Linked DNA regions of Drosophila melanogaster. The protein of the gene in region 4 interacts with the protein of the main gene of each other region in a pairwise test. Each region holds a gene or a part of one and is shown on either strand. Other genes may lie near its edges. The genes, in order: sov, TwdlB, mmd and Neos.

The links.
Region 1: the proteins of Neos (region 4) and sov interact in a two-hybrid assay, tested with the Drosophila melanogaster proteins (one large-scale study listed by BioGRID).
Region 2: the proteins of Neos (region 4) and TwdlB interact in a two-hybrid assay, tested with the Drosophila melanogaster proteins (one large-scale study listed by BioGRID).
Region 3: the proteins of Neos (region 4) and mmd interact in a two-hybrid assay, tested with the Drosophila melanogaster proteins (one large-scale study listed by BioGRID).

What each region holds. Positions count from the first base shown.
Region 1 is NC_004354.4:6,754,460-6,763,246, forward strand, and holds the start of sov (small ovary), read left to right. Parts: upstream 1-1,862; 5' UTR 1,863-2,241; intron 2,242-4,150; exon of another isoform or gene 4,151-5,032; intron 5,033-5,277; exon of another isoform or gene 5,278-5,435; intron 5,436-5,528; 5' UTR 5,529-5,560; coding exon 5,561-5,751; intron 5,752-5,817; coding exon 5,818-5,887; intron 5,888-5,954; coding exon 5,955-8,787. Other genes in the region: CG14439 (uncharacterized protein), read left to right, coding at 1-652, 713-984.
Region 2 is NT_033777.3:26,620,059-26,627,387, reverse strand, and holds TwdlB (TweedleB), read left to right. Parts: upstream 1-3,844; 5' UTR 3,845-3,891; coding exon 3,892-3,906; intron 3,907-3,974; coding exon 3,975-4,820; 3' UTR 4,821-4,937; downstream 4,938-7,329. Other genes in the region: TwdlO (TweedleO), read left to right, coding at 691-1,380; TwdlL (TweedleL), read left to right, coding at 1,786-1,800, 1,865-2,707; TwdlP (TweedleP), read left to right, coding at 6,064-6,726; TwdlM (TweedleM), read right to left, coding at 7,278-7,329.
Region 3 is NC_004354.4:15,967,769-15,976,534, reverse strand, and holds the start of mmd (mind-meld), read left to right. Parts: upstream 1-3,467; 5' UTR 3,468-4,330; intron 4,331-8,766. Other genes in the region: Or13a (odorant receptor 13a), read right to left, coding at 1-163, 222-329, 391-490, 1,043-1,474, 1,758-2,110.
Region 4 is NT_037436.4:7,238,477-7,246,069, forward strand, and holds Neos (neosin), read left to right. Parts: upstream 1-3,151; 5' UTR 3,152-3,398; coding exon 3,399-3,820; intron 3,821-3,883; coding exon 3,884-4,577; 3' UTR 4,578-4,663; downstream 4,664-7,593. Other genes in the region: BHD (Birt-Hogg-Dube), read left to right, coding at 159-1,317, 1,407-1,509, 1,568-1,688; RpL18 (ribosomal protein L18), read right to left, coding at 1,825-2,301, 2,379-2,465, 2,750-2,752; mRpL50 (mitochondrial ribosomal protein L50), read right to left, coding at 4,729-5,158, 5,218-5,327, 5,384-5,413; mei-P22 (meiotic P22), read left to right, coding at 5,912-6,907; Cdc27 (cell division cycle 27), read right to left, coding at 7,356-7,593.

The DNA.
Region 1 (8,787 bases), on a different chromosome or scaffold from region 4:
GTCCTTACCGTAATTATGGCCGCACTGACCGGAACCACTTTGCGGGAGCCGGAGCGCAAGGCCATCGGTGAGGGTGACCGCCAGACGTCTAGCGGCAAACCAGTGAGCCTGTGGCAAGTTATCAAGAATCCGGCAATGATCATGTTGATGATTGCCGCGTCCATCCGTCACTGCGGTGGCATGACCTTTGCCTACAACGCCGATCTCTACTACAACACGTACTTCCCCGACGTGGACTTGGGCTGGTGGCTCTTTGGGGTCACCATTGGCATTGGCAGCGTGGGTGTGGTCGTCGGTGGCATTGTGTCGGACAAGATTGTCGCCAAGATGGGCATTCGATCACGCGCCTTTGTATTGGCTGTTAGCCAGCTAATTGCCACACTACCAGCCTTCGGATCGGTCTACTTTGACCCGCTGTGGGCCATGATCACGCTGGGCCTGAGTTATTTCTTCGCCGAGATGTGGTTCGGTATTGTCTTTGCCATTGTTGTGGAGATTGTTCCGCTGCGCGTTCGCTCCTCGACCATTGGCGTCTTTCTGTTTGTGATGAACAACATTGGCGGCAACCTGCCCATCCTGGTGGATCCGGTGGCCAAGATCCTGGGCTATCGCGGTTCGATCATGATCTTCTACGCTGGATTCTACGGCATCAGTAAGTCGGCTTGATCTGGCCACTTTTGGATACCAATATTACTAACACCTCTGGTCACAGGTTCTATTCTCTTCTTCATCACCTGTTTCCTGCTGGAAGGCAAGCCTGATGAGGTGGGACAGCCGGAGTCGCCGAAGAGCCATCCGGATGCCGTGCTCAATGCTCGCCACATGCACGGACACGACAACTCCGTGTTCTCCGTGGACGAGACCTTGCCCTCCAACGGACGTCCTGCCCAACTTCCGCAGCATCTGCAGATGTCCAGCAATGGATACGACAAGTCCCAGATTTCTCCGCCACGACAAAATGGCGCGGAGAGCAGTAGACTATAGATTAGCTTAAGCTCCGGAGTGTTTTTTTTTTTTTATTAATTAATATTATGCAATTTTTATGTTAGGTTGTTAAGATACCTGCTTCAAATTCGGCTAACTGATAATTCGATATCTGCTTTACATCAGATATCAGTTCTTAACAAATATGCCCGAATCCGGAGCAGGTGTCCTTGCACCCAGCAATCATAGGCCTAAGCGATGGATCCCCGAGATTCCCGCAACACTGTATTTTTAGCGCGATAACTGTGTACTTAATTCGCCAGGCGATTACAAGTGTACAACTTTAATAAAGTGCTGTTTTGTTAACATAAATTGAGTTCGACACTCGCGACACTTTCAGCTAAATCAGAGGTGCTTTGAATTGTGAAATTGGCAGAAAAAGTTGAACAAAGGATAGTGCTGCCCTTATATTGAAGGAAAACAAAATTTGGATGCGGCTATAAAAAACCTTAGACCATATTCCTACACTGCCAAAAACCAAATAATAGCAGTTAAATACGAACCTTATATGCCACGCCAATCTCCCAGGTAAGACACCTCCGGATCCACCGGTTGAACCACAGACATATTAACACCCACATATCCTTCGCCACCCATCCATCTCCCTTTAAAACAGCTTTCATTTGTATATAAATAAATTTTTCACTTTCACTCTAAACCGAAATTCTATTTAAATCCTAATTATAAATATAAAAAAAATCAAGATGCTATCTTTAAAATTGTAATTAATACCAAAATTTCCGGCTTTTTACCCATAGTGCAACGTACCAGTTTCCTTCAGTATGACCATGTTGCATCTAAGCCAAAAAGTTTTGTTTGTCCATAACCATCGATAGCTATCGATAACTAACTTAATAAAATAGTTGCATGTATGACAACAACATCAAAGTACGTGGCTTAATTTCTTTCATTTCTATGCCTTATGGCCAGCTCCTTCGAGTAACATCTACAAAAAAATAAGAAAAATTTTCTCCCCGAAACGAAAAACCCTAGTTTTTCCCAACTTTCACTTACGACGAAAATCATCGCGGCGAATTGCAGACACGTAGCCTTGGCAGAGTGAGCATTTTGCTCTGCTATTCGTGTCTATCGTATTCGCCGGCAATTGCGCATTGTGAGACACGGGCATAGTTCCCTCACTTCGGCGTCAACTTTGGAAGTGTTCGGATCGGCTCGTATTTCGACACCTCCGCAGACAAGGCCAAATTGCTGAGCATCGCACAAAACTCCAGAAATAACGGAGGAAAGTAATCTAAAGTGAGTACAGTTGAATATTACTAATCAAGTGGTAGTTGTAATAACGGGAATGTGCATCAACGACGAAAACAAAAACGAATTGTAGAGGCCAGCAAAAAAGTCGTGCTCTTGTTTGTCTTTGTGTTCGTTTGAGTTTGCGTCTTATGTGGACGAGCTTTTGCGACTGTGTTTGTGTGTGTGTGTCTGCATAAGTGTTCCGCAGAACTTATCGTGTGAAGAATCCAACCGCCGTTTATATAAACATTCTTCCATAAATCATTTCTCGGACGAGAGCGGAAAGGACGTTTACAATCAATAATGGCGTATTGCGAGCTCTACTATGAAAAGTGGATTTAAGTTAATCGCGTAATGATAACTTCGTTTCTTTAAATGTTTATACACACATTACTAACGTTACTAACTTTTTTTTTTAAGTACTGTGGTGGAAGGAAACTCTTCTGACCTTATGTAGTACATAGGATTTTAACCATGACTATTATGTCCGTTTTTCTGTCCGTATGAACGACCTAAAAAGCTGAGATAGGAAACACATTCTAATGACGAAAACGCGACACAATGATTCGATACCAACGGTCAAGGTAGTGCCAAAGACAAGATGCGTAACGCTATACGATTTTTTGGCACACTATTTTTTCGCCATGGCTCTAGAGGTGGCTCCAGGCTCTCTCGATTTTTTGTTCGAGAGCGAGAGAGCGGAGAGCGCTACAGCAAACAGCTCTTTTCTACGCATACAGTGATAGTTATTATAGTGTGTTTGGTAGTGCGCACTAGCGCACTAAAGGCTGAATGCTACATTTGTGTCGCCAAAAACCGATGTTTCAAAAGTCCAAAATACAAAGTGACCCACTTTTTCTAAATCGTTGGAGGAGAGAATTCTGTAGTCAAATCCCCGACTATCAGATACCCGTTACTCAGCTAGTGTGAATGCGAACGCGAAATTTCATCATTTTTCTGGGATATCGAAAGATATTGGGGAATAAAATGAGAAAAAATTTTCCCAAAGTGACCGTATTGGCGGCTTTATGGCGTTAGAGTGGGCGTGGCCAAAAGTTGTTTGCCAAACCGATAGAAATTTACAAGTCTAATAAAATTATGAACAAATTTCGAAAAAAAGGTTCAAAAGCGTGGGCAATTTTTTGCGGTTTGTGGGCGTTAGAGTGGACGTGGCAACATGGGTCAACAAACTTGCGCTCCGTCCATGTCTCTGGAATCTGTATGTTGAATCTCAACCTACTAGCTTTTATAGTTTCTAAGATGTCGACGTTCATACGAACATACGGAAATGGCCAGATCACCTCAGCTATTAATCCTGATTAAGAATATATATATTTTATATAGTCGGAAAGGCTTCAATCTGCCTGTTACATACTTTTCAACGAATCTAGTACCCTTTTACTCTTCAAGTAACGGATATAATAAAGAAATAGAATAGCAAGGATGATCTGTATAATTTTTAGAACTTGTAAAAGGCAACGAGAGTTACTTTGTCACAAAATATGGATACCTTGCCACATACTTTATTTTTAGGAAAAAGAAAACTACTTGAGAGTATCAGATTTGGAAAATGAAAGGCACTTCTGACCTTTTTTTTTTAATAATATCTGTAAATGCACAAATAAATGCAGTGATTACTCACTATGTGCATAAAATACTTATTTAAATCAAGCTTAAAGTAAATGCTTATACGTTTTAAGCATAGCAAATGGACTTTGATAGCTGATAGATAAAAGAATCAAGCTAAGTTCCGTATTCTATCCACAAGAACACCGATTGGTTCATTCGTAAAGGAATGTAGTCGTTTTGCTGAAAAAATCCCATCGCTACTCGAGGGTTACCATTTGTTGTTGGTTTTGCGTGGACTGAGTACTTTGACCTTGTACTCTACCTACTACAATGAAACCACAAAAGTAAACATGGATATTTTATTCCTCAAATGAAAGAAATGATGATAGTGCTACAGTAATAGTTATCAAGGATAAGAACAACATGCTTCCGTCGTTGCGAACACATTTTCAGATTATGTACTAGACCTTCCTGTGCTCCAACCCTATTGATTTATATTAAAAATCAAGGTCATAATAAGGATCGCGATTGGCTTGGTTTATATCAGCTGGTGTATCAAGACTTAAATGGCACACAGTGTTTGGTATTCGCCGATCGACGAACCAGACCATGAGTCGTGTTAGAAGTATTGTTCGTAATACTGTGAAGTGGCGCCTACTAAATATGTTTTGTGTGTTGGAAGAGTTCAAACTGAAACGGTACATAAGTTTAATTATCCCATTATCCCATACAGATATATTGTGATAATGCGGGTTAAATATGATTAATGATCAACAATAATAGGGTTGGATGGTTTCAGTGTTGCTCTTCTAGGCGGTCTGTTCTGTACTCTCGATCAGCGCGTACTGCCACGTCGATTTAGAATTCTTGGCTTCCTTGGGCTTTTAGATATGCGCAAGAGTCGAGTCGCTGAAAGTTTAAATGTGTGTGTGTGTGCGTGTGGTCATCGTTTCGTAGAAAACTAGGTAGACGCTTCCCGTTTATATTATTATTGTGCTATCTGCTTCGTTCTGTAGGTACGGGATTTGTGGACGGCGTATGTATGGAATGTGCTTATGTCTCATGTTTGCTGTTTTATTTACGCTATCGATCGCAACGTCGAAAGATTGTTTAGTCTGCAAAAACAATAACAACAGCGAAAAAATCGATCGTCTTACGCACCAATACAATGACACTTGGGCACTGCCAAACGCACACAACTGTCGCGTGCGGCGAATTCACTTCGACTGAGTGGGTGCGCGAGTAGTGATGGCACTTTAGAATTATCGATAGTCCGTTGTGCAAATTTGTGAGATACTTGTTTTGTTGTTTGTTAGTTTTAAAAACAATTAGGGATTTTAGTAATGGGAGTTGATTTGCGGGCTGCATCGGGCTGCATCGCAACGTACTATAAAGATATTTTATTTCCGTTTGGAGTTATCGATTGTTATTGAAACCACCCGCCTCGGATTCGACGCCACAGATGTTGTTGTCATTCCTTTGACGACGCCGTTTTGTGCTGCCTCCTTTAGAAACGTTAATTAAGTTCCAAGAAATGAATGGAAATGTGTTTTATTTTATACATTGCGTATTCTTATATAAGAAGTCGCAGTTTTGAGGGATATTCATGGCGCACTAGTTGTGTTCGTCCGGTGAGTGATGTGAGCGGAAAGTGTAGGAAGTGCTGAGATTGAAACCATGCCGCATAGTTAACCAATGTAATAAATAACACCAAACACCCTCAGAAGAGTCGGATACGAACAGTGCCTGCTGCAAAATGGAGGATAGCGAGGACGACGTGGTGGTGGTGAGCTGCGATACCTCGATGAAGGAGAAGGTAAAGGCCAAGCTGGTGGAGATCCGTAAGTTTGTGCCCTTTATCCGGCGTGTGCGAATAGACTTCCAGGATACTTTGTCCAAGGTTCAGGGTCATCGTCTGGATGCCCTGGTTAACCTGCTGGATCGCGAGTAAGTCATGGACCAAGGGACGCCCACCAAACTCGGTTATCCATCATATCCACTCCTTCGTTTCAGGGACGTATCGATGAGCTCTCTTAACAAGATCGAGGTGATCATTGATAAGCTAAGGACGCGCTTCAATCCGGTAAGTCGAGTATGCGCCACAGCTATGACCACATCTTCACGTTCTAACCCTAATTTTCGGTCTGTAGAGGATCGAAATTGACACTGGCGAAATCATTGATATCACTGAAAACACTGAGTATGATTCCACTGCGTCGAGTTCCTCCGGGTCAAGCGCACAACCACCAGCTCAAAGAGCGAAGTCCTCAGATAAGGGTGGCCTGTTGAACGGCTCATCTCTGGCTGGCAGGTTAAATGCTTCACTTAACCCCGCATCAGATGCTACCAAGGACCATCTATCGACACCAAAGCAACTAGAATTGGAGCGCAACTCTAAAGTCTCTTGCTCAACTTCAAAAATAAAGACTTCTTCCATTTCTGCCAAGATTTCAGTTTTTCCAGCCACTTCAATGGATTTGAACATCCCAAAAACTACCAGCGCCAAGGCATCGGATGAGGGGCAGCGGTCACCTGCAGAACCACGTGCCGCCCTTCAAGCTATAGTTCAAGATACGAAAACACCAACCATTCCAGAACCAACATCACCAGCGGCGCTTAAGCATTCCTCCCTTCGTGGCAGTCGTGGATTTCTGGCTGTCATGCAGAAGGCCTTAATTGAAGAGAAGAAGCAGCGAGCTAGCGAACAGAAAACTGATAAAGAAACTAACGGTGTAACGCAGCTAGAGACAAACTTCTCGCGGCGATCTTATACAACATCGTCACAGTCAACCTGCCGTTCTTCAGAAATATCGGTAAGAGCAGAAAACCCAGATTTTAAGCGACGAAGCACATCGCTTGTGCAGCATGCTCCTCTACAGGAGGCCTCCCCAGGGCAATCCAAAAAAGACTTGCCCATATCCTTGTCGGTACAGGGTCTACCAGCTTTGGTCAGTGCCAGCACTGCAAGTCCAGCAAATACGCTTGAGGAGGCCCGCAAGAAGCTGGCGGCCTTGAAATATGGACTAGGAACAACGGTACCAAGCATGCCTCCACTGGCCTCCAATATAAATGATCCACGCGGTAGAAAAGGAATAAACCTGCCTGAAACTAACAACAATAAAGACAACGACTTGGGTATAGCGCTGCAATCCCCGCCGCCTATGCGGACTCCCTCGCCTATTCCGCCGCCACCAAGGATGAAGGCCGGTACGTGGGCCTCATTTTCAAATGTTCCCCAGGAAAGCGCATTTACAGGCCAGCATGCTGTGCAGCGCAACTCGGTACCTCCGGGAGATTCTCGAGCCTTTGGGGATGCTTTGGCACATGAACCAAGGTCCTTCTATGGCACTGATTCCCGAGAACCCCGAGACCCTCGTATCTGGAAGAGCAAGACTTCCCAACAGCAGCAACATCAGCAGGCGCCACAGGCACAAATTCCTCCGTATTCCAGTGACCCGCGTCGTTCTATAAGCACTTACAGCGGTTTCGAAGAGTCAGCCAATAGAGGGCAAACTAATAGTAAAAATAATAATAATCATAATCAGAATCAGAATGTTACCGCCAATGGAAGTGCATACATTGCGAACTGGAGTGGCAATCCATATGGAAACGGTCCAAACCCAAGACCGCCCTTTCCTAGCAATCAAAACGGGAATGAATATGCTGGTGGTTTTAATGGTTCGCATAGTTTCAGGGGCGGATTTCGCGGCGGTCACAACAAACGGGGCTTTGGACGACACAATGACGTGCCACGCACATATGGGGAACACCGCAAAGCCAAGGCCCGTGCTGAGGCGGAGGCCAAGGCTAAGGCTGAGGCGGAGGCCAAGGCTAAGGCTGCGGCGGAGGCCAAGGCTAAGGCTGCGGCGGAGGTACGCCAATTAGAAACGGAAGTTTCGCGGGAGATGGAAGCCCAAGAAAAAAATAAACAGCAAAAGGAAAAGCCGGAGGAGAGCGAGGCGGAGAAGTCGACGATCGCAGTGACTCAGGTTCCGGAATTGGACACCTCCTACCGCAACGTTAATCTGGGGGTGCTAAACAAGAAGCTAGACTTTCGAATACCGAAGAAAACCCTCCCACCGGCAACAACAATAACCTCAACAAGTCCAGTCAATGGTAATGGGGAGAATCCAAGCTGCCCCTCAAATTCCCCCACAAGCAAAAGCTGTGATGCCAACCAGGACAAAGATACTTATAAGAATAAAGATAGGTATTTAAATAAGGCTAAGGCTAAAGACAAGGTAGATAAGGGCAATGAGGTGTCGGAGAACAATCTGGATAAGTCTGAGAAGCTTGAAAAATCGCAGGATAAGAAGGCAAATGACAAGGAGAACAAGTCCGACAAAAAGGAGAAGAAGAGACTGAACAGGGAGCCTGAAAAGAAATCAAAGGTTGAGAACCCCCTCGAGATTGTGGACTCGAATAGCGTGGTCAGTGAGGAAAGCTCGGAAAATACAGACAATGTGGAAAATGAACCGCCTCTTAGCGAGACTAACGCGTCTCCAGTTCCAGAGCTAGCTACCAGCACTCAGGACAGTCAACAGGACCAGTCAGTGAGTGAAGAGTTGGACATCCTTGCCAAAAACCGTAGAATGTCCGGAACTAGAATAAAGACTCCCATTTCGTCTACTGGAAACCCTGCACTAAAGCGACGGGCAGATGATGATGTTGAGGACAAGTTGGAAAATCCGACTAAAAAGAACTGCGCAAAGTGGGAGGCAAAGCCTGACAAGGAAAAATCGGAGGATGATACCATCGACAAGATTAAATCCATGAAAGTAACTAAATTCGCTGATGTCGAGATGAAGGTTACAGAAGAAAGCCAGAGTGCTGAGGAGGAGGAGATTACTGAGCAGAAAGAGAGTACTGAGGAGGAGGAAGGTACTGAGCATAAAAAGAGTACTGAAGAGAAGGATAAGCCGCCAAAAATCTCCAAGATAAAAATTGTCCTTACTCCCATTGCCCATACAACACAAGTGGTTC
Region 2 (7,329 bases), on a different chromosome or scaffold from region 4:
ATTCTGGCTCTTATATACGGGACTTGTATGGAATTCCCAGACTATTTAAAACAGGTTTGCCCAGAGTTCAAAGCAAGCTTCCGACATTCTTTTTGACTTTGAACCTCAAACTAAAAAGTCACTTCAAATTCTAGACCCACTTTCGATAGCAAAAAAGGCGACAAACAGAAAGCAACAACAAACCATTAACTATCAATGGAGTTCGCATAGATTAAGATTTTATCGTTTCGTAGGCGGAACTCAAAGAATGCATCACATTGTGTTCGACTTTAATGACCATCAGAACATTTTTGGACGGGCTCTGACTTTTTTTTTGGAAACGGGTTTGATAGTTTTGCAGCATTTTCCCCAATCGAATTCCGGGCAGTTTTGCCCCGGTCAAGAATAAATCGCGGCGCCATGAACCGGTCGAGAATTTGGCTTTTGCAATTGGGCAGAAAGTCGGGGGTCGCCGACTGGATGTATTGGCGAGAATTTTAGGATAGTTTGCATAATCATTTCATAAGCGCACCGCTTTGCATAAAAAACTAGTTGAGTTATGTAGCAACCCGACGGGAATGGTGTCGGTTATAGTTCTAAGTCGGTTCTAACTACGCCAGATGGGTATATAAGCTGCTCACCTCAGTCTCAGGATTCAGTCTTGGCCTTTGCCTGTTAAGCACACCCAGCCTACAAAACCAAACCTTCACCATGCGTTTCCTCATCGCTTTCTGCCTGATTGGTGCCGCATGCGCCCAGTACAACTACGGAGCGGGATTTACCGGAGCCGCCTCCGATAATGTTCCCAGTTACTCCGGAAGCAGTGTTGGCGACTCCTACGATGGTGCTGCCAGCAGCCCGGACTACTCGGTCTCCAGCGAACTGAACAAGGAGTACTACACCTTCGAGGCTGACGAGAGCCAGTTCGAGGATCCTCTGGCCGCCCAGAAGATCGCCGGCTCCGTGAACAAGGGACTCCGCGTGGTCTTCATCAAGGGACCCGAAAACCGTGGCCTGGAGAACGCTGCTCTGGCCCTCGCCAAGCAGGCTGCCGAGCAGAGGACCGCCATCTATGTCTTGAACAAGCAGACCGACATTGGAGATCTGGCCCAGAAATTCAATGCCGCCCGCCAGAACTCCAACCAGCGTCCTGAGGTGCACTTCGTCAAGTACAGGACTCCCGAGGATGCGGCCAATGCCCAGCGTGCCATCCAGTCGCAGTACGATAACCTGGGAGGATCCAGCCAGTCCATCAACGGAGGAGTTGCCAACGCCATCAACTTCGCCTCCGCTGCCCCCGTGGTTCCCGCTCGTCGTGGCCCCAACTACTCCCCACCAGCCGCCGCCACGAGCAACTCCTACCTGCCCGCCAACATCCTGCGTCGCCTGCGCATCCGTTAAGGACCGAACGAAAACCGACAGTTGTTAAATGTGTTGTATAAATGTAATTGAATAAAAAACGAAAATCGATAAAAACAAATACGCTTAGATTTATATATCTATTTTTAATCTAGATCTTCGAAGTTTCTGACTTTGTCATCGGCCATTGCAATTTGTTTGTTTTTTAATAGCTTTTCCTTATAATAACATTTATGCAAAGCTGAATTGCTCTGCGAGCCCGAACAAAAGCCGTTCGCTGCCTACTTTGTAGGCGGACAAAACATTTAGCAGCATCAGCGCTTTGTCTTCGAAAAACTGCGCCGCCAGCTTCGAAGTTGGGTTAGTATATATAGTTACCGCCGCCGTGGTCATAGGCAGAAGCAATTTGTGCTCCGAACCAAGAGAACCTCAAACCCAAAACTAAAGATGCGCGCCTTCATCGTAAGTGGTGTAGCCAGGACTTAAGACGAATTCACAACTAACGGATAACCCTTGAATCCTGTAGGTAATGTGCCTGGTGGCAGTCGCCTGCGCCGATAAGCTCGGCTACAACTACCAGCCCGTGGGACACTCCAGCTCCGGACTGTCCTTTGCTCCTGGAAGTGGCAGCATTGGAGGTGGATCCATTGGAGGTGGTTCGATTGGAGGAGGCTCCATTGGAGGAGGATCCATTGGAGGAGGCCTCATTGGTGGTGGCTCTATCGGAGGCGGTTCCATTGGAGGTGGTTCCCTTGGTGGTTCCATCGGTGGTGGCTCTATTGATTCCGGTCTTGGCGGTCTTGGTGGACTCGGTGGTCTAGGAGGTGGCGACGCTCTGGCCGCTCCAGTCTCCTACAACGCCCCCGCTCCCGCTGCTGAGCTCCAGAAGGAGTTCTTCACCTACTCCGCCAACGAGCAGGACTTCGATGAGCCACAAGAACTGGAGCGTGTTGCTGGATCCGTAAACAAGGGACTGCGCGTTGTCTTCATCAAGGGACCCGAGAACCGTGGTCTGGAGAACGCTGCCCTAGCCCTCGCCAAGCAGGCTGCCCAGCAGGAGACCGCCATCTATGTCCTGAACAAGCAGGCCGATATTGGAGATCTTGCCCAGAAACTGAACGCCATCCGCAACAACAATAACAACAAGCCCGAGGTGCACTTCGTCAAGTACCGCACTCCCGAGGATGCTGCCAACGCCCAGCGCGCCATCCAGTCGCAGTACGACCAATTGGGAGGATCCTCTCAGGCCCACAACGGTGGTGTGGCACCCGCCCTGAACTTCGCCTCCGCTGGTCCCGTCCAGAAGGCTAATGCTCAGATCCCTGAGAACGCTTACCTGCCCACTTCCATCTTCCGTCGTCGTTTGTAAATATTTTAACGACTTCGAGATGAAGGCGTTGACTGTTCTTGTTAAATCTTATTGTTGAAATCTATTGATAAATAATATACAAAAATCTGAATACAAACATTCTATGATATTTTATATTGGATGGTGGTGTAGTAAACAATAGTGTATACCTTCCGATGACAACATGAGTGGAGTTACAAGTTGGGCTTTTAGAAAATTATTTCAGTCTTTGGTGAGATTTTTCGACCTGTTTTTATTGCACAAAAAGTTTGGTAATGACTTTTAATTTGAATTTATTCTTAAAAAGGTGCAACGCTATTAACTTAATACAAAGCAAAAGACCTTTAAAACTCATTAAGAATTTGGTAAGCTATATTACCCAAGGCAGCTTCCCGATGACCTTGACGTTTAATATTTGTCATAACCAAAATATTATCCTACGAAGTACTGGGAAAAGAATAAAATAAAATATTTCCGCATATTTTAAATGTAGGCAAAATGTTTTTACGACAAAAAAGTTAAATTAAATATAAACATATCGTTTTCACCACTCTCAAGTTAAATTTTTTATTTCATTAGTAATATATGCGAAAATAAAGAATCAATGAACTGGGGGCGGCATTTCAAACATCTCATTAGACGACTTGCTAAATTTAGCGCTTGCATCATGTCCATAAATCAGAACTAAACAGATGTGTCGAAAACGATTATAATGACTAAACGATTGTCATTCAGTCGGAAAAACCAAGTGCAGATGTCCTACATAAAACAAGCTTTTAGCCTTGCCGAAGAATTTGTCAAAAAAATGTATTTTATATAATACTCGTACCTAATTATGACCCATCTGCATGTTAAACTCATTCCGACGTGCTCGCGACATATTAATTTTATAATTCAATATGAATTCTTGTAAACTATTGGACGAAACTCGAAATATTTGAATAACCCACGACGGCCAGACTCTGCCCATTGAAACGCAACCAAAAAATTCCACACCGAACATTAAAAAAAACAGAGGAAGCAAAAACCTTTGTAGGCGGCAAAACACAGTGGCTTCAAAGAAATCTCCGTGCAGCAGACGCCGCGGCGGTATCTTTGTCTTTATCAGCCTCCAAGATGGATTTGTATAAATAATAAAGATCGCTCCTAGCCAGAGACACAAGCAACTCATACCTCAAAGCAAAAGAACCAGCAATCTGCTTAAGATGCGCGCATTCATTGTAAGTAGCGCGGTTAAGGATTCAAAGGATTATACGCCAGGATAACACTTCTCTTTTCATGCCTCCAGGTCCTGTGTTTGGTGGCAGTCACCTGCGCCGATAAGCTCGGCTACAACTACCAGCCCGTTGGCCACTCCAGCTCCGGACTGTCCTTCGCTCCTGGCAGCGGCTCTATCAGTGGTGGATCTATTGGAGGAGGCTCCATCGGAGGAGGTTCTATTGGAGGAGGCTCTATTGGAGGAGGCCTCATTGGTGGTGGCTCTATCGGAGGAGGAAGCATCGGAGGTGGATCCCTTGGTGGTTCCATCGGTGGTGGCTCCATCGATTCCGGTCTTGGCGGTCTTGGTGGACTCGGTGGTCTAGGAGGTGGCGACGCTCTGGCCGCTCCAGTCTCCTACAACGCCCCCGCTCCCGCTGCTGAGCTCCAGAAGGAATTCTTCACCTACTCCGCCAACGAGCAGGACTTCGATGAGCCACAAGAACTGGAGCGTGTTGCTGGATCCGTAAACAAGGGACTGCGCGTTGTCTTCATCAAGGGACCCGAGAACCGTGGTCTGGAGAACGCTGCCCTGGCCCTCGCCAAGCAGGCTGCCCAGCAGGAGACCGCCATCTATGTCCTGAACAAGCAGGCTGATATTGGAGATCTTGCCCAGAAACTGAACGCCATCCGCAACAACAACAACAACAAGCCCGAGGTGCACTTCGTCAAGTACCGCACTCCCGAGGATGCTGCCAACGCCCAGCGCGCCATCCAGGGTCAGTACGACCAGCTGGGAGGATCCTCTCAGGCTCATGATGGTGGTGTTGCACCCGCCCTGAACTTCGCCTCCGCTGGACCCGTCCAGAAGGCTAACGCCCAGATCCCCGACAACGCCTACCTGCCCACTTCTGTGTTCCGTCGTCTGCGTTTCTAGGAAGGCTACATCTTGGACTCCATTAACTTAAGCAAATCTCGACTGAAGAACTCATTCTTCCTGTTACACGTTGTTGACTAATGCATAATTACACCAATAAATTTGAAATTTAAATACGAAAATTTAAACAAAGGTCTACCTTATGTGTTTTATAGAGTGAGATTTTTATTGCGGCTTGGCCATAGTAGCTAATGGTGCATTAAGTCCGCCTTGTTTGGCTTGATTGTTTGCGGATGGGTTAAGTATAAAAAGTGCCCTTCAAACTATAAATATCTCGAATTGACGACATCAAGATCAGGAAAGGCAGTTCGGAGCAGGTTTCCTTTATGAGTTTAAGCCCTCGTCGAATCATATTCACCTAGACTTTCCATACAAATCAATGGACTAATTATCTGACATAGCCAACTCGCATGCCGCCAAATTAATTGACTACAAGATTAGATCCACCCACTTGGCCAGCGGGAAGCATTAATACCGGACTCCCGGCCAACGAGGAACTGGTTCTTTCCCGACGACAGCTCAAGGTCGCGAAGATGCCAACAACTGTTAGATGACCTGGTTTCCGAGGCCCGTCGTGTGTCACGTACAATTAGAAAGGAATCTCAAGTGCAACCCACATACGAAGGCAATGAAGATTTATGCCCAATCGAAACCTGATTAGCCATAAAAACAAAGTCTAATCATTAATTTTATTAAGCTGACGATCACTTTTTTGTTGAAATCATTAACAAATAAGCGGTTCTGTATACATATTCAAGCAAATATAACAAAACAATCCGATTGAAACAGCCAAGAGATCGGTTATTTTTCTTTTATTTGTGCATAAATTATAAGCCAATTATGGGTGAATCACGATAGTTCGGAAAACGACTGGACTCGCAATCGGATCTTAGCTCGGACTCGGACTTCGATTCGGAATCTCATCTCAGTCGGCGGCACGATTGAAGCTGTCTTTTGCCCACAACAATGTGTTAAATGTGTTAAGAGCGAAATTATGTTAGCAGATTAACAGCATTCCGAAAACCCGATGGCCAATAGCCACTGGCCATTCGCGAGTCACGATTCGTGAGCGGAGATCGATGATCGCCGTGTTCCGCCAGAGGGACCCCAAAGTGACTAGACGGCTCAATTGACTAGATTTTCTAGTCTAATTTTAAACGTCGTCGCGTTGGCGGTATAAAAGGTAGATAATGAATGCTATATTATTCATTCGTCTAGAATATCTCGTAGGCATCGGGTCAATATGCGTGCCCTCATTATTCTAAGCATTGTGGCAGCGGCAAGTGCCGGTAGCTTGTCCGGATATAATTACGGACAAGGTGCGACAACCAGTATTGGGGGCAGTGGTGTATCCCCAGTCCCTGCACTGGCGGGACCAGTTAGCTATAGTGCCGCTCCCCAGGCGTCAGTTCACAAGGAGTTCTACAGCTTCTATGCCAACGATGACGACTTCGAGGATAAGGCTGCTCTCCAGAGGGCTCTTGCCTCGGTCAAGAAGAACATTCGCGTCATCTTCATCAAGTCGCCGGAGAACCGTGGCTACGAGAATGCCGTTTTGGCCCTGGCTAAACAGGCGGCCCAGCAGCAGACTGCCATATATGTGCTGCACAAACAGACTGATATCAACGAGCTGGCCCAGAAATTCAATGCCGTGCGCCAGAATGCCAACAAGAAGCCCGAGGTGCACTTCGTCAAGTACAGGACACCTGAGGATGCTGCCAATGCCCAGCGGGCAATCCAATCGCAGTACGATCAACTCGGCGGCTCCAGCCAGTCCATCAACGGTGGCGTGGCTAATGCCATCAACTTTGCATCCCAGGGAGCTGCTCCAGCACGCGTTACTCCTCAACAGGTGCCCCAGAGCAACTACCTACCCGCCAACATCCTGAGTCGCCTGCGTCACTAGAAAATCGATTGTTAAACGTTGTTTTCGAATAAAAGTTATCTAATTTGGTTATGTAAATTATTGTATTTTCATTTGGTTAATTCCTTTAAAAATTGACGAAAGCAACATAAGTATGCAACAGTTTTCAAAATAAATTGTATACCTATTTATAGCAGCGATAATCGAATAAAAACAGAAAGAAAGAAGAAAGAAGAAATAAAAATACTTGTTCAAAACCCAAGATCTCAGCAGCCATAAACTGGTATTAAATTTTGAATATGGTTAAAGTATAAACTAGTTCCTAAGAAATATATAAGTGCTTCTACTTATGTGCGCTTTCAAAGTTTGCAAGAAAATATTTCGCTGCAAATAAATCCGAACTTGCGAAGTTTCGTTCCCAATGAACTCAGCCTGCAAAGTTTTTTGGTTTTTACAAATGCACTACAACAAGTCAAATTGGTTTTAAAATTTAAGAATTGAATTTATTTAAGCATTAGTCAACAAAAACTACGATTTAATATCAGTCAAAAATCGCTGGCGTTTTCGATTCCGAAAGGAGTGAAACGAGCGACTTAGACGCGACGGAAGACCGAAGATGGCAGGTAGGAGTTGTCGGGGCTCTGG
Region 3 (8,766 bases), on a different chromosome or scaffold from region 4:
TTGAGAACTTGAAAGCCGTAATCCTTACAGGCTGTTGACTGCAGAGGATCATAAACCAAATCTGGTTTCGGATTCGCTTGGTTGTTGGCGTGAACGATTGTATCTCAATGCGATCGGATCCTTCCCACTGGCATTCATACAGAATTTGCGCTGTTAAGGTAGACTGTTTATCGGAAATAGTTTATTAATATATTAAAAAAAAAAACAATCTACATTCTTGCCTGTTTTATCAATGCGTCGCCATTCTCGCAAAGAACGTATAATTGTGAAAGGGCCGAGGATATGTAAATTATGAACTTCACATAGTCTCCAATGAACATATTTTTTCCCTTATGAAGTTTAGAAAGAAAAGCTAGTCATTATATTAAAATATTTACTGCCAATGCTTACAGTAACTATTTGAAAGCCAACCATGCAAATAAGTACGGAGGAAATCATTAGATTGGCCAGTAGAATTGGGTTGAAAAAGTCCTCGAGGCGCTTAGCAAAACTATTGGCAAAATCAAAGTAACATGTAATGGAATCATTGTAATAGAGTCGTTGTAATAGAATCATTGTAATAGAATCGTTGTAATAGAATCGTTGTAATAAAATCATTGTAATAAAATCATTGTAATAAAATCGTTGTAATAGAATCATTGAAATGAATCATTGTAATAAAATCGTTGTAATAGAATCATTGTAATAGAATCGTTGTAATAGAATCATTGTAATGAATCATTGTAATAGAATCATTGTAATAAAATCGTTGTAAAAGAATCATTGAAATGAATCATTGTAATAAAATCGTTGTAATAGAATTATTGTAATAAAATCGTTGTAATAGAATTATTGTAATAGAATCATTGTAATAGAATCGTTGTAAAAGAATCATTGTAACAGTATCGTTGTAATAGAATCATTGTAATAGAATCATTGTAATAGTATCGTTGTGATAGAATATTTGTAATATAATCGTTGTAATAGAATCATTGTAATAGAATCATTGTAATAGGATCATTGTAATAGAATCATTGTAATTGAATATTGGCACGATACCAACCTGATAATATTGTTGTGTTTTTCCACAATACGTTTGAGTCGCTCCAGCTGAATGCTCTCGGCCAATTCCGCATTGGAACCCGCAAATAAACCTGCGATTCGTTGGTGTAGCAAATGAAATTGGCCACAAGTGTAGGTTATGAAGAAGCCAAGAATGGTGTCCTCTGCAAACAAGGTGGTGACCACACAGATTCCCGCGTAGGAGGTGAAGATGTAGGTCATCACATATCGGATCCAACTGCTCTGGGCATCGTACGGAAAGATCATCTTGTAGGGAAACGGCTTGTTCTGTGCATCGAAGGCGGGTCCAAAGAAGATCTCCACCAGCGGCAGGACACAATACATTATGATCAGGCACGCTAGCAAGGATGTCATTATGCTGAAGGTAACCATGCGTCTGCGACACTCGGCGGCAACATTGTTTTTGGAAGAACTGGAACCCATCATATATTTATATATGTAAATAAAGATTTTCTTACAAATACAGTTTGAAGATGGGTATAGTTACTCAAAAGTCTATATTATCTCAAAACCACTTTAAGTGTCCAAAAGCATGCTTAGAAAGCAAAGTTTGCTCTTTTGCACACAACAATGTAGCACACTTTTCTGCGCATTTACTCAAGTAAGATTGCAAACCTCTATAGTTTTCAATGCTCTGCAGTTTAATGCGATGATCATTTAACATCGCTTATAATAACCCTAATGAATCGACTCACTTAGGTATCCAAATTTCGTAGGAAAAGTTCTCAATAAGCTGGCGGAATTTCCTCTGATTGAGGCGAAGATGGATGAGTCGGACAAAGTTCAGGACACCCATAAAGGTGGTGCAACAATTTTCCGTGGTGATAATAATGTCCGAAAGGTTGTTCAGCAAAAAGGCCGTCTGATAGCTGATTGTTATGCCCACAGATGCAATGACGTACCACGCCCACACGATGTAGGCGGTGGCCAATAAGGATTGGCTCCTCCATGGCCTCGATGATTCGGTTAATGGCCAAGAACCATTCAGTTTCAGCCAAACGCACTGAATGGGAAAGCTAAGTGCTTTGTAGGGATACGAATAGAACATGACTATCTGATAAATGCCACAGCACTAGGTACATCTTAAGGCATTTCTTTCATTTATAGCTTACCAACTGCGCCCTAAAATTACCACTTTTTTAATCATTTACCCTAATTGCACAGTAAATATTTTAGAAAGCGTTTGCACACAAGGCATATACTTACCACCTCATTAAGTGCCGAATATGAAATTTTGATCAAACGCATTTTCCAAGGAGGTGTGTGCCTGTGAAATCCATTAAACTATACTACTTGTGTGTATTTTAATTTTGCTTTATTTTGAAGAACAAAGTGCGTTTTGCTCTCGAAAAATAAACAGGTAAACAGGTGCACATATTTCAATTTTGTTTTCAATTTAATATATTCAAATTAAAAAGCAAAACTAAAAGTATAAACATGCAACCTGCGCCTGAAATCCGTAACACTTTTAGATATATATATATTTTTTTTTCAATTTCTTATACATATTATTTCATTGTAATTTTCCATGATTTTCCATTTATGTATGTTGGCTAACAATGCGGTCTGTATTTATTTTTAGGCTTTCATTCGCCCAAACTTCATTTCGAAACCAGTTAATTTAAATCAGGTCACTGCTAGCTGGGCGTAAGAAGGATATAGCTTCATTCAATTAGACGACGGGGGCGTGGCCAATCTGTGGCGTGGAACAGTGTGGACCCAGTTCTCTGTCCATTGTTCTGGCCAAGATCTCGACGGCCAGATAGACAGGCAGCCAGACAGAGATACAGAGAGACAGACAGACACGGCTAGATGGAAACGTATGTAGAGGCGTAGGTGTATACTACACTTCCTTTTACAATTACGCACCTTTGCACGAATACAATATACCCTTTTGCTCCACATAACGGACATAAACAGACGTACCCGGATTGTAAGACTCGTTGGGGCCAAGGAGTGGATTTTTTTTTTACCGACTTTCGGCGAGAGAGCCAGCGGCTGAGTGCCGAACACCAACCAACATCCATCCGAGGACCAAAAGGATGTGGCCCACACAGCCCGAGAGAGCCAAGATGCTGAATTGTGACGTGACAATAGAAGCGGAGAGCGAGAGATGTGGCCACTCGGCTGGGCTTGGTTTGAGATATATTGGTATGGGATGGGATGGCCGGGATTGGGAATCTCCCAGTTGAGATTCCGGTGCTCTGCGACTGCGTCGTATTTGGCTGACTGAAGAATGGCTGGTCGACTGGGTTGGCTGCCTGGTTTGCCTCCGGTTGGAGGCAATCGTTTTTCGCCTGGCCAAAATCCTGCAGACGTGTTCGAGAGCTTTAGAACGTTGTTTGCAATTGCGGAAAGCGGTTAGCGAGGCACGAGACACGGCGATAGTTTTTAATAGAAGAAGCAGCAGCAGCAATAAAAAAATAAAATAAATTAATACAAAAAACACAAAAAACATACAAAAACCAAAAAAAAAAAAAAACAAACAAACAAACAAAACGAAATACGAAAGCAGCAGAAAAGAGTGCAGATGCAGGAAATAGCCGTATAGTTCGCAGCCAGCGGAGCAATAGTTTATTGAGGAATAATCCCCGAGTCGGCGCCCAAAAAGATCCAACAAATACCCCAGAAACACAACTGAACAACCAGCCCAGGCAAAAGTATATACATATATATATATATATATATATATATTAACAAAGAAATTCGTTTTCAAATCCCAACACACCGTGAACTTAGAATATATATATATACATACGCGTATATATATATGTATATATATATATATATGGAAAAAAGTAAAAGAAAAGAGGAAAAACGAAATGCCGAACGGGTGGGCAAAATGTGAAAACCCAACAAATAACTACTCAGAATCAAATGTTTGATATAGTAACGTAACGAAACGCAACGCAACGCAGCTCTAAAATCGGCTACTAAATCAGCACATTCAAATCAAATATGGAAAATACAAAAATAGAATAAATATATATATATGTCTATATATGTGCACATATATGCGTGTATATGTATATGCTGATGGCGTAAGGATGAAAAGATCATAAAATACATATTTTATGAAAATTTTTTGCATATTTTTTTTACTGTTTGGCCAAAATAACAAACTGAGTGTGTTCATAAAGCAGTACAATGTAAACTTAAAAGCAAACTTAAACGCAAAACGGATAACAAATAATTCATAACTACTCTCCAACTACTGTTTCAATGGATTCTGGTTTTGATTTTTTTCGAATTTCCCGAATTTCCATTGGTGAGTACCGCAATTACGTTTATGTATTTTATATCTATCAAAAATCGCTACACATCCCATGCATATATATATATATATATAGTATATTTCGGTATATGTACATGGCCTCAAGGATTCCAAACTCTGGCAGATGGAACTGAAATAGTTTGGCTAGCTGGATAGTTGGATTGCTTTATGGCCGTAATTATACGGGGGAGGGGAAAATGTATACTTGGTCCAAAACACACACCACATGCCCAACATACTTACTATTATTGCGAATATGGTCCAACTCCCGACTCTCGAGCGGAAATGAGGCGCGGCTGACTGCGCATGACCAATGAATAATAGCGATACAGAAATGCTTTTATCCCACACTTTGTATTCCAATGCATATCTGGATATCCTCTCTCCATCTCGACGTCTCACCGTCTCTCCATCTCGTCATCCCTTCTCTGTCCATGCCGCTCCATTGGCATGCGAAGGAATTTGGAATTTTTTTTTTTTTTTTTTTTTTGGCAAAAGGACTCTGGCAATTCGAAGTGTGTCAGGACATCATCGCCTTTTTCAGCGTCGCTTGCAATGGTGCGCTCCTCCACCAACGCCAACTGAAGACACATTTGTTCACAATTATTTGGGGGTCTGGGCATGCGTTGCCATTGACCCATCTAACCACCCGCAGTTGTGCACGGCAATTCAAATCTCAACGTGCCCCAGTGCTTTCGATTGTTTTTAAACAATTAAATCCACCGCATAATCCCATGCCAGCCAAACGAAACACGTAACCGGATTTGAGATGATGGCAAAGTGATTCCAGGATGATTCCCCCTGCTGAGTCCTTGAGTTTGTGAGTTCTCGTTTAATGGTTGGTTAACTCGTGAGAAATCTGCGCTGGCAGTAAAGTAAACAAGCAGCGGGCAATTTGTTTATCAATCAAAGAAATGGTGTCGGAATTCCGCATTCGCGAGTGTGACAACGCCCAAATGTTTGCTGATCCATAAAGGAGAAGAGCTCCGCGATTAGATCGCCCTACCTACCACCACGCATCCTTCGAAGCTCGAACTTCCCTATCGTTTGGTAGCACATTGACTCCAGATGGACTTATTGGGGGCACAAATCAAAACGCGGCAAAACAATGGGGCAAAGACACAGATTAGGTCAAATAACAATGCTGCTATACACACGAAGAAAAAGGAATGAACTTGTGAGGGAAACTAAAGATGAATGGTTTGAATACAATACAGTTTTCTTTGCATACATTTAACGGACTGAAAAAAATCTTTTAAAACTGGTTATGCTAGGGAAAACATTATTTTTTCATATCCTGTTAACAAACATTTGGTATTTGATTAGTTTCCGGAATCCTTGAATTTTTCTTCGAGTGGCAAACTTATGGCTCTGCACCAGATTAGAAGCCATGACCTACGATTTGATATAATCAATCAAGGCTTGACTTGTTGCCTGTTCAATAAATAGTCAGGATATTCAGAATTCACAACAGTTGAAATCATTTACAAAACGCGGCTTTGTATGAGTAAATCTTTTCTGCGTGTGTAAAACTACAAAATGCTGCCCAATGCTAGTGAGTCAGATACTGCCAAAAAAACTTGTCGGTATCATGGAGTGAGCCAACTTTTTGAGAAACATAATAATGAAAGTTTTGTCAAAACGAATAAATTGGGAAACACTATACGATGGAGCTTCAGCTTTCCGTGCTGTTGTTACTCCATTTGATCGGGAATAGTTTTAATCAAGTTTTAATTGGCAAAGTTGCACAATGAGTGCAATCATTAGTCAGCAGACAAAAAATTGTGTGGCTGGCAAGAGGAATAACTCATTTTATTGGCCCACAGATCCACATCCGCACACATGTCTGCAGTTCCCATCTTTGGAATGCCGTCTAGTCGGAGGCTGCGCATTCGGTCTTTGGAGAGCCAGCCAGCCAGCCAGTCAGCCAGCCAGCCGACGACCACGACTCTCGCGTCCTTAATTTTCATCCCTTTATTTATTTATTTTCCTGTCAGCTGCCGCTGTCTGGTGTGTCTGCCCAAGGTTTCTGTTTCGCATTCTGTTTCTGAATTTGAATCTGAATCTGAGACTGAATCTGAGACTGAATCTGAGACTGATTCTGAGTCCGTTTCGGCCGTGGACGCCCACGACAGCGAGGGAAATATGTGGCCATCCGGAGAATAGATTAACAGGATACACCAGTAGTTAGGGACCTCAGCTCATCTACTCATCTTCATCTTCATCGCCCCTTCATCATCATCATGGGGGCTCATCTCATCTTGGGGCTTTAAATTATGCGACTTGAGTTGTGTTTGTTGGTAAGATGTTGTCATATGTATGCGACCAGCCACTTGGCCTGGAGAAGTACTCATCAAGGTGCCCAAAAGTATGCCACAATGTATTTAAAATGTGCATTCTCAACTCTTCAAGTTCCTTATGCTTGGGAATTGCTTGGGTGGTGTGTTTCTGAAAAATGGTCCATATATTTGTAATATATCATCAGAGTTATTAAAGCACACGAAGAACTGTCTAAAAGTATGCTACAATTGTGCGCAATTATTATACTATACTATGTCTGTTGGTTTAAACTTAACTTATGAAGGTTTCTAAAACTTCTAAAAGTATAAATAGTTAAGTTAAAATATTTATATGTAAAGCATACCATTTTTTCTGCTACAAATATAAATTACCATGTTTATACAATACTTGCATATATTATTTATGCCATATTAGCTTAGCACTTTTGACCGGTTTTTAAACGAATGACATAAAATCATTTGCACTAATAATGTCATTGGCTGGTGAATAAACTTTGTTTGGATACAGCTTTCTATTGGTCGAAGTTGCTTGTTTATTACATTTTTAAAAGTATATAATTGGATTTAGCTGAAATTTCTTAGATAATTCAAACACTCTCGCTTGCCATACGCAAATTGTGATATGCATTCATCTTTTTAATGCAATTAAATGTTATGACAAAACTTTGAAAATAAGTTACTTCTCAGTTGTTGTTTTATAAATTGAAACCATTCTCGTTGTTATCCTTTTCGTTAGTCCTTTTACTCCTTGTAATTTTCCATGTGGGCCACTGTCGCCTCCTTTTGCGGCAATAAATTTACTCACTGCCTTTTCGCCGAAATGACCCAAATTTCAGGATGCCCTCCATATAAGGGAAAATTCAATAAATTATTGCTAAGCCTTTGGAAATTGTGCAGAACCTGTTGATTCTGCAGCCGCCGCAACTAAGCGCTTAATTAAATTTTAGTCGGAATTTTCACGTATATGTATACGCATTTGATATTTTGGAAACAGGCAAAGTCAAAAAAAAAAAAAAAAACTTATCATATATAATATTATTGCCAATAAGATACTATTTATATTACGTTTTATTGAAGTCGAGCACAATTTCAATATCCCTGGATTGCATAAGCTTATGTTTGAAACAAGTAATTTGAAACTGATTGCTTGCTGGGGCAAAAGAGAAATCACAGTAATTGCAGTAAAAGCAAACATTTAATTTGCACGAACGAACACTTAAACAAATTAGCTGACTACACTTAGAAAAACGTATGATACAAAACAAAAACATTACTCGAATATCATTTGAAGCTAAGTGTAAACTACATTTAAGAGAAATTGTCACAAATTATATATTTTTGAGAGCGATTCTAGCTTCGAGTTTCGCTCAGTGTATGCAATAACTGGCGTCAGCAGCGCAGCTTCCAATTTTCCCCTTTGATCCTATAAATTATGTTCGGTTCTGCTTTTTAGTCTCTGATTATCTTTCGGTGCATACGATTGCTGAATTCTGGACGGACGAGTGAATTTTCGGATAAATCCATCGGTGTGATTAAATAAACCATATAAGGTGCAACATCAGTTCTTTTTTTTCATGTGACTACTTCAAGAAGGTTAAGGCATCCAAAGCGGGCGAAGCCGATAAAAAAACAGTTGAGAAATATTCGAAATTAGTGTTGCTTTTTGGAATCTTGTTTGAATTTTTTTTAATTGATTCTTAATTCGATTGTTGCAACTACTCGGCGACATTCGAATCTGCATTACCATTAACAATCGCATTCGCAATCGTCTTTCTTACCTAATGAATATTAATTATTTAATAGGATTTTTCAGCTAATTGAATCTGCTTTCTACCATTTCTCTGTCACCGCTAAATGTCTGTCCTTGCCTAATTAGCGCAAATTAAAATTGTGGGCTGTGGCCTCGGAACGCTCTTCACTGTCCGGTGCCCAACATTCAGCATTTAGCATCCAACATTCCGCATTGAACATTCACATTCACACTCACATCCACATCCACATTCGCATTCGAATCCACACCCACATCAACACCCACATTCACATTCACCTTAGTGCCAACGTGGCTTCTCATTAGTTTCGCTTGGGCAATCCCCTAATGCACAGTTTCAAACAGATTTAACCTTAGCTCTA
Region 4 (7,593 bases):
TTTAAAATATCGCTTAAGAAATCCCTGCAATGTTTTCTATGTTCTTACCGCCATTTCTGGTATTTCAGTGAATGTACGCAACTGGTCACTCTAGTATTATTAACTAACAAAATAAACAATAACATAACCAAGGATATAAAGGAAACTGTAGAGCAGCGATGAACGCCGTGATAGCGCTGTGCCACTTTTGCGAGGCGCACGGTCCCTGCGCCATCTTCTGCACCCAGACACTGAGGGACACCAAGCTGGAGGACCTGTCACTGGAACAGCAGACGCAAAAGACCTGCTCCGCCTGCAATTACTCCATGGGCAAGAATAACAATGCGATCTACAGCAGGGACACGGAAAGCGGGGCCACATTCGTCAGCACCAAGGTGGCGGTGCTGCCGGAGGTGGCCAGTCTGGTCAAGCAGGCGGCGGTGCTCAGTCTGAGCAATGGTACGGATGCCAGCAAGGATGGCGAGTTCGTGTTCTTTGGCGATTCGTCCAGGGGTCACATCCTGAGTCACACCTTCCGAGTGAGCGACCTGCAGGCCCGCGGCTACTCGCAGCTGTTCTCCATCATTGTGCTGATGAAGGACAAGTATTTCCTGCTTAACATCAAGCCCTTTCTGGCGGAGCACCTGAAGAAGGTGTCGTCGGAGCTGCAGGCAGCTGCCAAAAAGACCAAGGAGACGGAGGAGCAGACGTACTCAGAGCGACAGAGGCGTCTGTCCGGCGCTCAGTTCCTGATGCCCACTTCCCGTGCCTTGCTGGAGCTAACAGGCGAGGAGCACATCTTCGCCCAGTTGCACTCACACTTCTCGTGGCTCCTGCTAGCCGGATCCCGCTTCCTCACCGAGCACGTGACCTTCGGCAACCTACCGTGGCTACCGCCACAAAGTAGTGGCCGTCCTCCCGCACAGCGACTCACCTACAACAGTTCCACACTGCCAATGATAGAGAGCATCGACGATCCCGATCTGGAGGAGTTCTTCTCGTTGCGCCATCTCAAGAGTGTCGTCCGCAAGGAGGAGTTTGCCACGGTCTGCTATTGTGCCTTGACTGGGGTGAAGATTGTGGTCAGAGGTGATCCCAGAAAGACCTTCCGTTTCATGGTCTGCCTGAAGAAACTCCTGCCCGAGCCCATGCACAATCTAATGCGAATCGATGCCCAACATCAACACTCCATCAGCTCCGAGTACAAAATCATATCCGTGTCCAATGACATAGCCGTGCCAATGGCCAGTAGCTCCGTTTATCGGATCGATTTTCTGGACAAACACGTCAACGGACACGAGGTGTCGGTCAAATGGCCAGGAGAGCTGCCACGAAAATGTAAGCTTCACATCCAATCCGTTCCCGCTTTCACTGATAAAAACGAGTCGGGGATATTGATATTGATTCTATTGATTCTCCCACTTTAGTGCCAGATCTTATGGTGAAACTTTTAAAGGCGGTGGAGGAGAAAAACTTCACAGAACTCGTGCTGAACAAGCAGACCAAGGTGCTCATCGAAGAGTGGAAAAAGTGAGTAGCCGTCCTATTTTGCTGCACAGATCCGAACTCAATTGAATTCCATCTACAGCAAAGTGACCTGCCTCAACCATGCCAAATCCACCAGCGTGCAGGGCAAACTTAAGAAGGTGCTTGGCGTGCAGCCGCACGATCAGCCGATTATTAACTACTGGAGCACACACCTTCACTAGTACAACCGATTACCGCACAGATTAAGGACTTTCTTTTTCACCTTTTGGAATAAAACTCTTTTATTGCCGTGCGATGGCGAGAAAAATCATTATCTTAACCAAAAGGATGCCGAATCCAGTCCAGTCAGCCAGTCGCTTACTTCTTGTAGCCGCAGCTGGAGCGACGACCACGAGCACGCTCGAACTTGCGTCCCTTAGAGCGGACATAGGGGCGGGTGTGCGAGTGGGGCACACCGGGAGCCTTGCCGAAGTGCTTGCAGGCGGTGCGGGCGGTACGCCTGCCCTGCAGCAGCAGCGTGTTCTTGCCGGTGGGCGATCGGAGAGCCAGTTGATCGAAGGTCAGGACCTCACCGCCGGCCTTCAGGATGCGCTCCCTGGCGGTCTGCGTGACGTGCAGGGCGCACACGGTGAGCTTGGGCACCACCAGGAGGCGGGCATCGTCGGTGACGGTGCCGACGACCACGATGGTAGACTCCGGCTGGTTGGCGGCCTTGAAGAAGCGAGCGATGCGCTGAAGCGATAGCGGCGGCCTGTTGATCTTGCTCATGAACAAACGCTTCAGGATGATGCGGTTGAACTTCTTGTTGGTGCGGCGCTGAAGGAAGCGGTACAGCTGCGGGGGCAAACAAAGAAAAAAAAACAGATTAATCTCCACATTCAGCTGGTAGTCAACGCCATCGAAAGCCTCACCTTGACCAGCAGGCGCAGGTACACATCCTGGGATTTGGGCTCGGTTCTGCGAACCTTGCGATCGTACTTGTGGTTGATATCAATACCCTGCAAACGAAACACACGTATTAGAACTGGTGTTTATGATCGGAAAAACAATTGGTCGGCATTCGAGCGTATGTTTACTACATATCCATGGAACCGATCAGTTAAACTGCTTATTTCATGGTATTTTAGCTTCACAAACTAGATGCCGCCCACACAAATTTGTTTTTATTTCATTCCGTCGCCAGGAAGCTTCGCAATGCACGTGGGCTGAGCCACAGTTGGCGTTTTAGGTTATTTGTCAGTTTCCTGCTGGAATCATTGCCGCACTTTTATCGGTAACCCACCATTTCTTCTGTTGAATGTATTAATCAACGCTAAAATAGAGAATTGGACATTAATTTAAGCTAAAAACGTGGAGCATCAATTTCTTGCACGTACCTCGCCGGAAACGAAAGCCAAAAGAAAGAAAATAGTGTGGCTGCACCGATCACAAGCAAGACGCTAAAATATCCAATTGTGCTGTTATGATAACAGCGTGCTGTTAAGGCGCAAGCTTCATTTATTTTCTAAGCGATATCCTAAGTTTATAAACAAAATTTCTAGCATTAATAATACTGTGGGTAAAACTTCCAAACCTCTAAATCAAATTAAAACAAAATTATATGTGAAAGCTCTTATTTGCTTGATATACAAGTGTGGCAACGCCGCTAATAACATCATTAGTATGACCATAGGATTTTTTTTTAATATTAGGGGGGTACAACAAAATATTAATAGTATCTGATTTTTTACATGGCATTTTTGTAAATTGAATTTCTAATAAGCAAGTTAATGCAAGAAGGTTCGGAAATCAAGCGACCCTTTTTTTTTATTAAAACTGATGCCAATTCTGAATAATAACTATTCAGCGGTGTGTATTTTTGCATTGCCTCGTCGGGTCACACTAGAATCTTCAGTTTCGGGTTTGTGTGCAGTAGAAAGCTTCAAATATCTATGTCTGATCCAGGAAGCGCCGGCTACAACATAACCAAGGATCCGGCCCTGGCAAAGAGTCGAATCTTCTTGGGCAACCTGCCGGTTTGCACGCGCGAGGAGCTGGTGAGCATTTGCCAGCCATATGGCAAAGTGCTCGGTTCGATGGTCCAGAAGAACTACGGATTCGTGCAGTTTGAAACGGAGGAGCTGGCCAATAAAGCCGCCTCCGCCCTGCACAAGTCCACTTTTAAGCAAAACATGCTCACCGTACGCAACGCCAGCATTAAATCGAAGGCGGCCAATGCTATCGCCAAAAGAAATTCAAATCAAGGAGGCCAGGTGACAGTTCAGGGTGGACTTGTGATGTCAGCGGCGGCAGCGGCAGCAGGTCAACCCCTCATCAATGATTGCGAGATCATAGTCCAAAATCGCGAGAATACGTAAGTTATGATCCCCAATACCTTATAACTCCAGACGATACTCATGGCTTTCATTACCTGCAGCAAATACGCAGAATACATTGAGGAGCGGCTAAAGAATTCCAGTCTGCGCGTGGATGTACTCTTTCCCAACGAGGACGTCTTGCTAGGCAAGGTCCTGGCCAACATCTCTTCGCGCGGCTGCTTGTATGCGGTATTGGTCACGCCGCAGCACGAGGAACACAACAGCATCACAGTAAACATTTTGTATGGCGTACCCGCTGAGCATCGCAACATGCCGCTGGAGGACGCCATCACCCTGATCTCCACCGATTTTAGGCTCAAAAAACAGCGCGACGCTGTCGTCTTACCGCCGTCAACATCCATACACAAGGGACAGCGACGACATCCCCAGGAAATGCAGGGGCTGCTGGAAAGGCTGGCAGACAATCATCCATTGACCGCGTCGCAGTACGAGGTGATTCTTAAGTACCTCGAAGGCGAACGCGAGGAGCAACTGAAGCGAGAGGTGGGCGAGGCCAATGCTCTGGCCAAGCTAAAAGCTCCCGATCCAGAGATCGAGCTGCAGAAGAAGATTCTTAGCATCATGAACAAGCCGGCAGTAACCGATGTCACCAGCGAGCTCATGTATCCCACTTTCGAGGCAGTCAAGGAGGACAGAAGGCTAATGGAGCTACTTGCTGACGATCGAGTGTTGGCGGCCCTGGAAAGTGTTTACAACTCGGATCTCAGACAGATTTTAGCCGAGTATTTATAGACTACCAATACTTAGTAGTATTCATTAATTTTAGCCATTAAGCATATTTAACATTTAATAAATGTAATACCTAATATATATGACGTAAATCTCGGGCTTCCAGAATGCATTTAATAAGTGTAAGACATTAACAACTAACAATTGGCTGTTTCTAAGGCCAGGATCGCTTGGCTTCGTGTCCCTCGTACTTTCCACGGTACTTGAGACCGGTGACTAGGGTGGAGCTCTTGGGGAAAGCCGTTTTGCCGTCGAATTTGGTATCTGTCTCGGGATGGAATCGCACGTACTCGTACTGGATGTGCAAATTCTCCGGCAGCTCGATGCGCTTCAGTGCATCAAACGGCACGGTGGTGTCCACAGCTGTTTGGTAGAAAGCGATAACATCGCTGACGGTGCGCAGTTCATGTACCTGGGAGTTGGGCACTCCGTGCTGCAGCTCCTGGAAGCACGCGTTCAGGAATTCGAATTTCTCGGAGAGATTCCCCAACTGGTCGGATTTCAGTTGAAGCGAGGCGGCTACGGTTCGAATACGTTCGGCGGCATCTGCAGGTGGGGAGTACGGCTTATGGGGACGCAAGAAGCTACAATCAGGAGAATATTTACTTGGTTTTTATGTAAATAAATTAAAGAAAGTGCTTACCCCTTGGCGGCGATGGACTCGCCGACAGCTGAAATGGTGCTGGTTTTGACGGGCTTTGCTTTTGCGGCCTTGGCGGCGGAGGCAAAACTCCTATGCAGGCTTCCCGCAAGCTAAATTCATGGTGGCATTGGATTTTAAGTGAACATTTTTATTATTTTTTACTTACAATTAGGGTTTTACGTAAAATCGCTGCCATTGGATGTGACCAGATTGAAAACAATGCGGCATGGCAGTCAATACTGAAAATATATTCACTATACTTACAGGTAAGGAGATGGTAACACAAAAATACTGCATTGAGCGTTGCCAGGTGGACTCACTGTTTACCCACTGTTAAATTTATAAACAAACTTAAAAAAAATGAAAACATTATGAGTATTGAGTTATTTTTAGTCGAAGATCTATCTCATAATAGTCTTTCTTGAAACAAATTTTAGTTTAAGCAACAATAAGTGATAGGATTTTATTTTAAAAATATATTACCTCATCAATTTCAATTTAAATCTAAATTCGACATAACTTTACGAACGATAACTTTATTAAATTGCGTGGCAGCTCTAAGCTTTTGTCGATAATAAGGTCCTGTTATTCAATTGATAAGTCCTGCTATCGCGCCAACTGTTATTTTTTTATAATTTTGCATTGAATAATAGTTTTAAACTACATTGGTGTTCTTTATGTAGTATAAAACAGTATGGACAGGACAACAGTTGTCCCGAGTCCGGCCTCCACCTACTGCTCCTTTATGGGTGGCTCCCAGCACTCCCCATTGCGGCGATCACAGCGCCTCATCGACAAGGAAAACCGGGATCTGCAGAAGATTCCGCCCAAAAGTCTTTCTCCTCAGTTATTTGGAAACACTGAAGATGATTACAGTGAACTATTGTTGCAGCAAGGGAAAGTGGTTCACCTGAAGCCTGCAGCTAAGTTGGTGCCCGTGAGATCCTCGGATAATCTAGTCCATCTTGGATCCCGGGATAAAGTTGTCCCCTTGAAAACTTCCAATAGAATCGTTCACCTGAAGCCTCCATATAAGATTATCCACCTCAAAAGTTTAGATGAAGTTGAAAAGACCGTAAAGAAGAAGAATAATATTCAGAAAGAAGTTCATCAAAGGAATTCACAAAGGAGAAGCATTCAATGCACTCCCAAAAAACGTGGTCGAAAACCAAAGCAACCGGCTAAGAAACTGCAGTCAAGAATTTCCACCGATCAGCTAGGAAGCACACCATCGCCATCCAAGCTGCCTGCCAAATATCCCGCCCATTTTGTTCATCAACTTCCGCCCGCTGAGGATTCCAGCTGTGCCACTCGAAGACGATCCTTATCTGCTCCAGCTATGCAACTTAGCGATCTAAGCCTCACACCCGATGAGATCCAAACTCCGGAGCGGCGCGGTGAAATCGTAAACAAATCGCCATCGGATCTCGACTCCGATGTCTCCTTGAACTTCTCGCTGTCCGATTCCATTGGCGAGATCTTCGGCACCAAGGACATCAGCAGCATTCTGACCATGCAGCGGCCGCGTCAGTACATTTTGCTGGAGGAGCATCTGCCCACACTGGCCACCATGTTGAACGTTGACTTGGAGCGACTGCGCTGCGTGCTGGATATCACTCAGGGCTTGAGCCACGAGCAAATCCTGCGCTTTCCGATAAAACATGAAGAGGATGAATTGGAAGTACCTTAGATATGATGGGGAACTTATAGCAGTAGTATAATGTTTTCACTTTGAATAGTTTTAATGTCCAAGTCCAACATATTTAATTCCCATAAGATCCTTGTTGCTTTAACTTAACATTTAAAATGTATATCTCCCTTTTTTTTTGTATATTTTTAAGTGGTATTTAATTGTTGTTGTTTTTTGTTGTTGTTGTTTCTTTTTCGTTATTTTGCCTTAGACTTTCAGAGTGCACAATTTTTGTTTAAACCATTTACTTTTTTGTATATTTTAAATTACTAATGCTAAACGTTATCTAGACTTTATCATACTTCATAATTGGTTTCCTTTCCTCCACGACAATACAGCAGCAATCGATCGGGGTTTTTTTTTGTATCTGTTACTAAGTTTTCTTTTTTGTTTACTGTGTTTCTCATTTAACGTATATACAACCGCGTGAATTTGGAGTTGCAGCTCCCTAGTAGTCGCTGTCGTAGCTTCCGTCCTGCTGCGCCTGCGTCGAGTCATCGGAACGCTCCGAAGTGGGCTCCAGATCAACGTCCAGGGCCGTAGTGTTGGCCGGACAGCAGCTGGGATGAGCCATTGAGTCGAAGGCATCTTTGATTTGATTGTTGGCACCTTTGGGATCTAGGTCGGTGGCCCAGCTGAAGTGCATCAGCGCCAGATCCATGTTGCCGAGCGTCTTGTGGATTTTG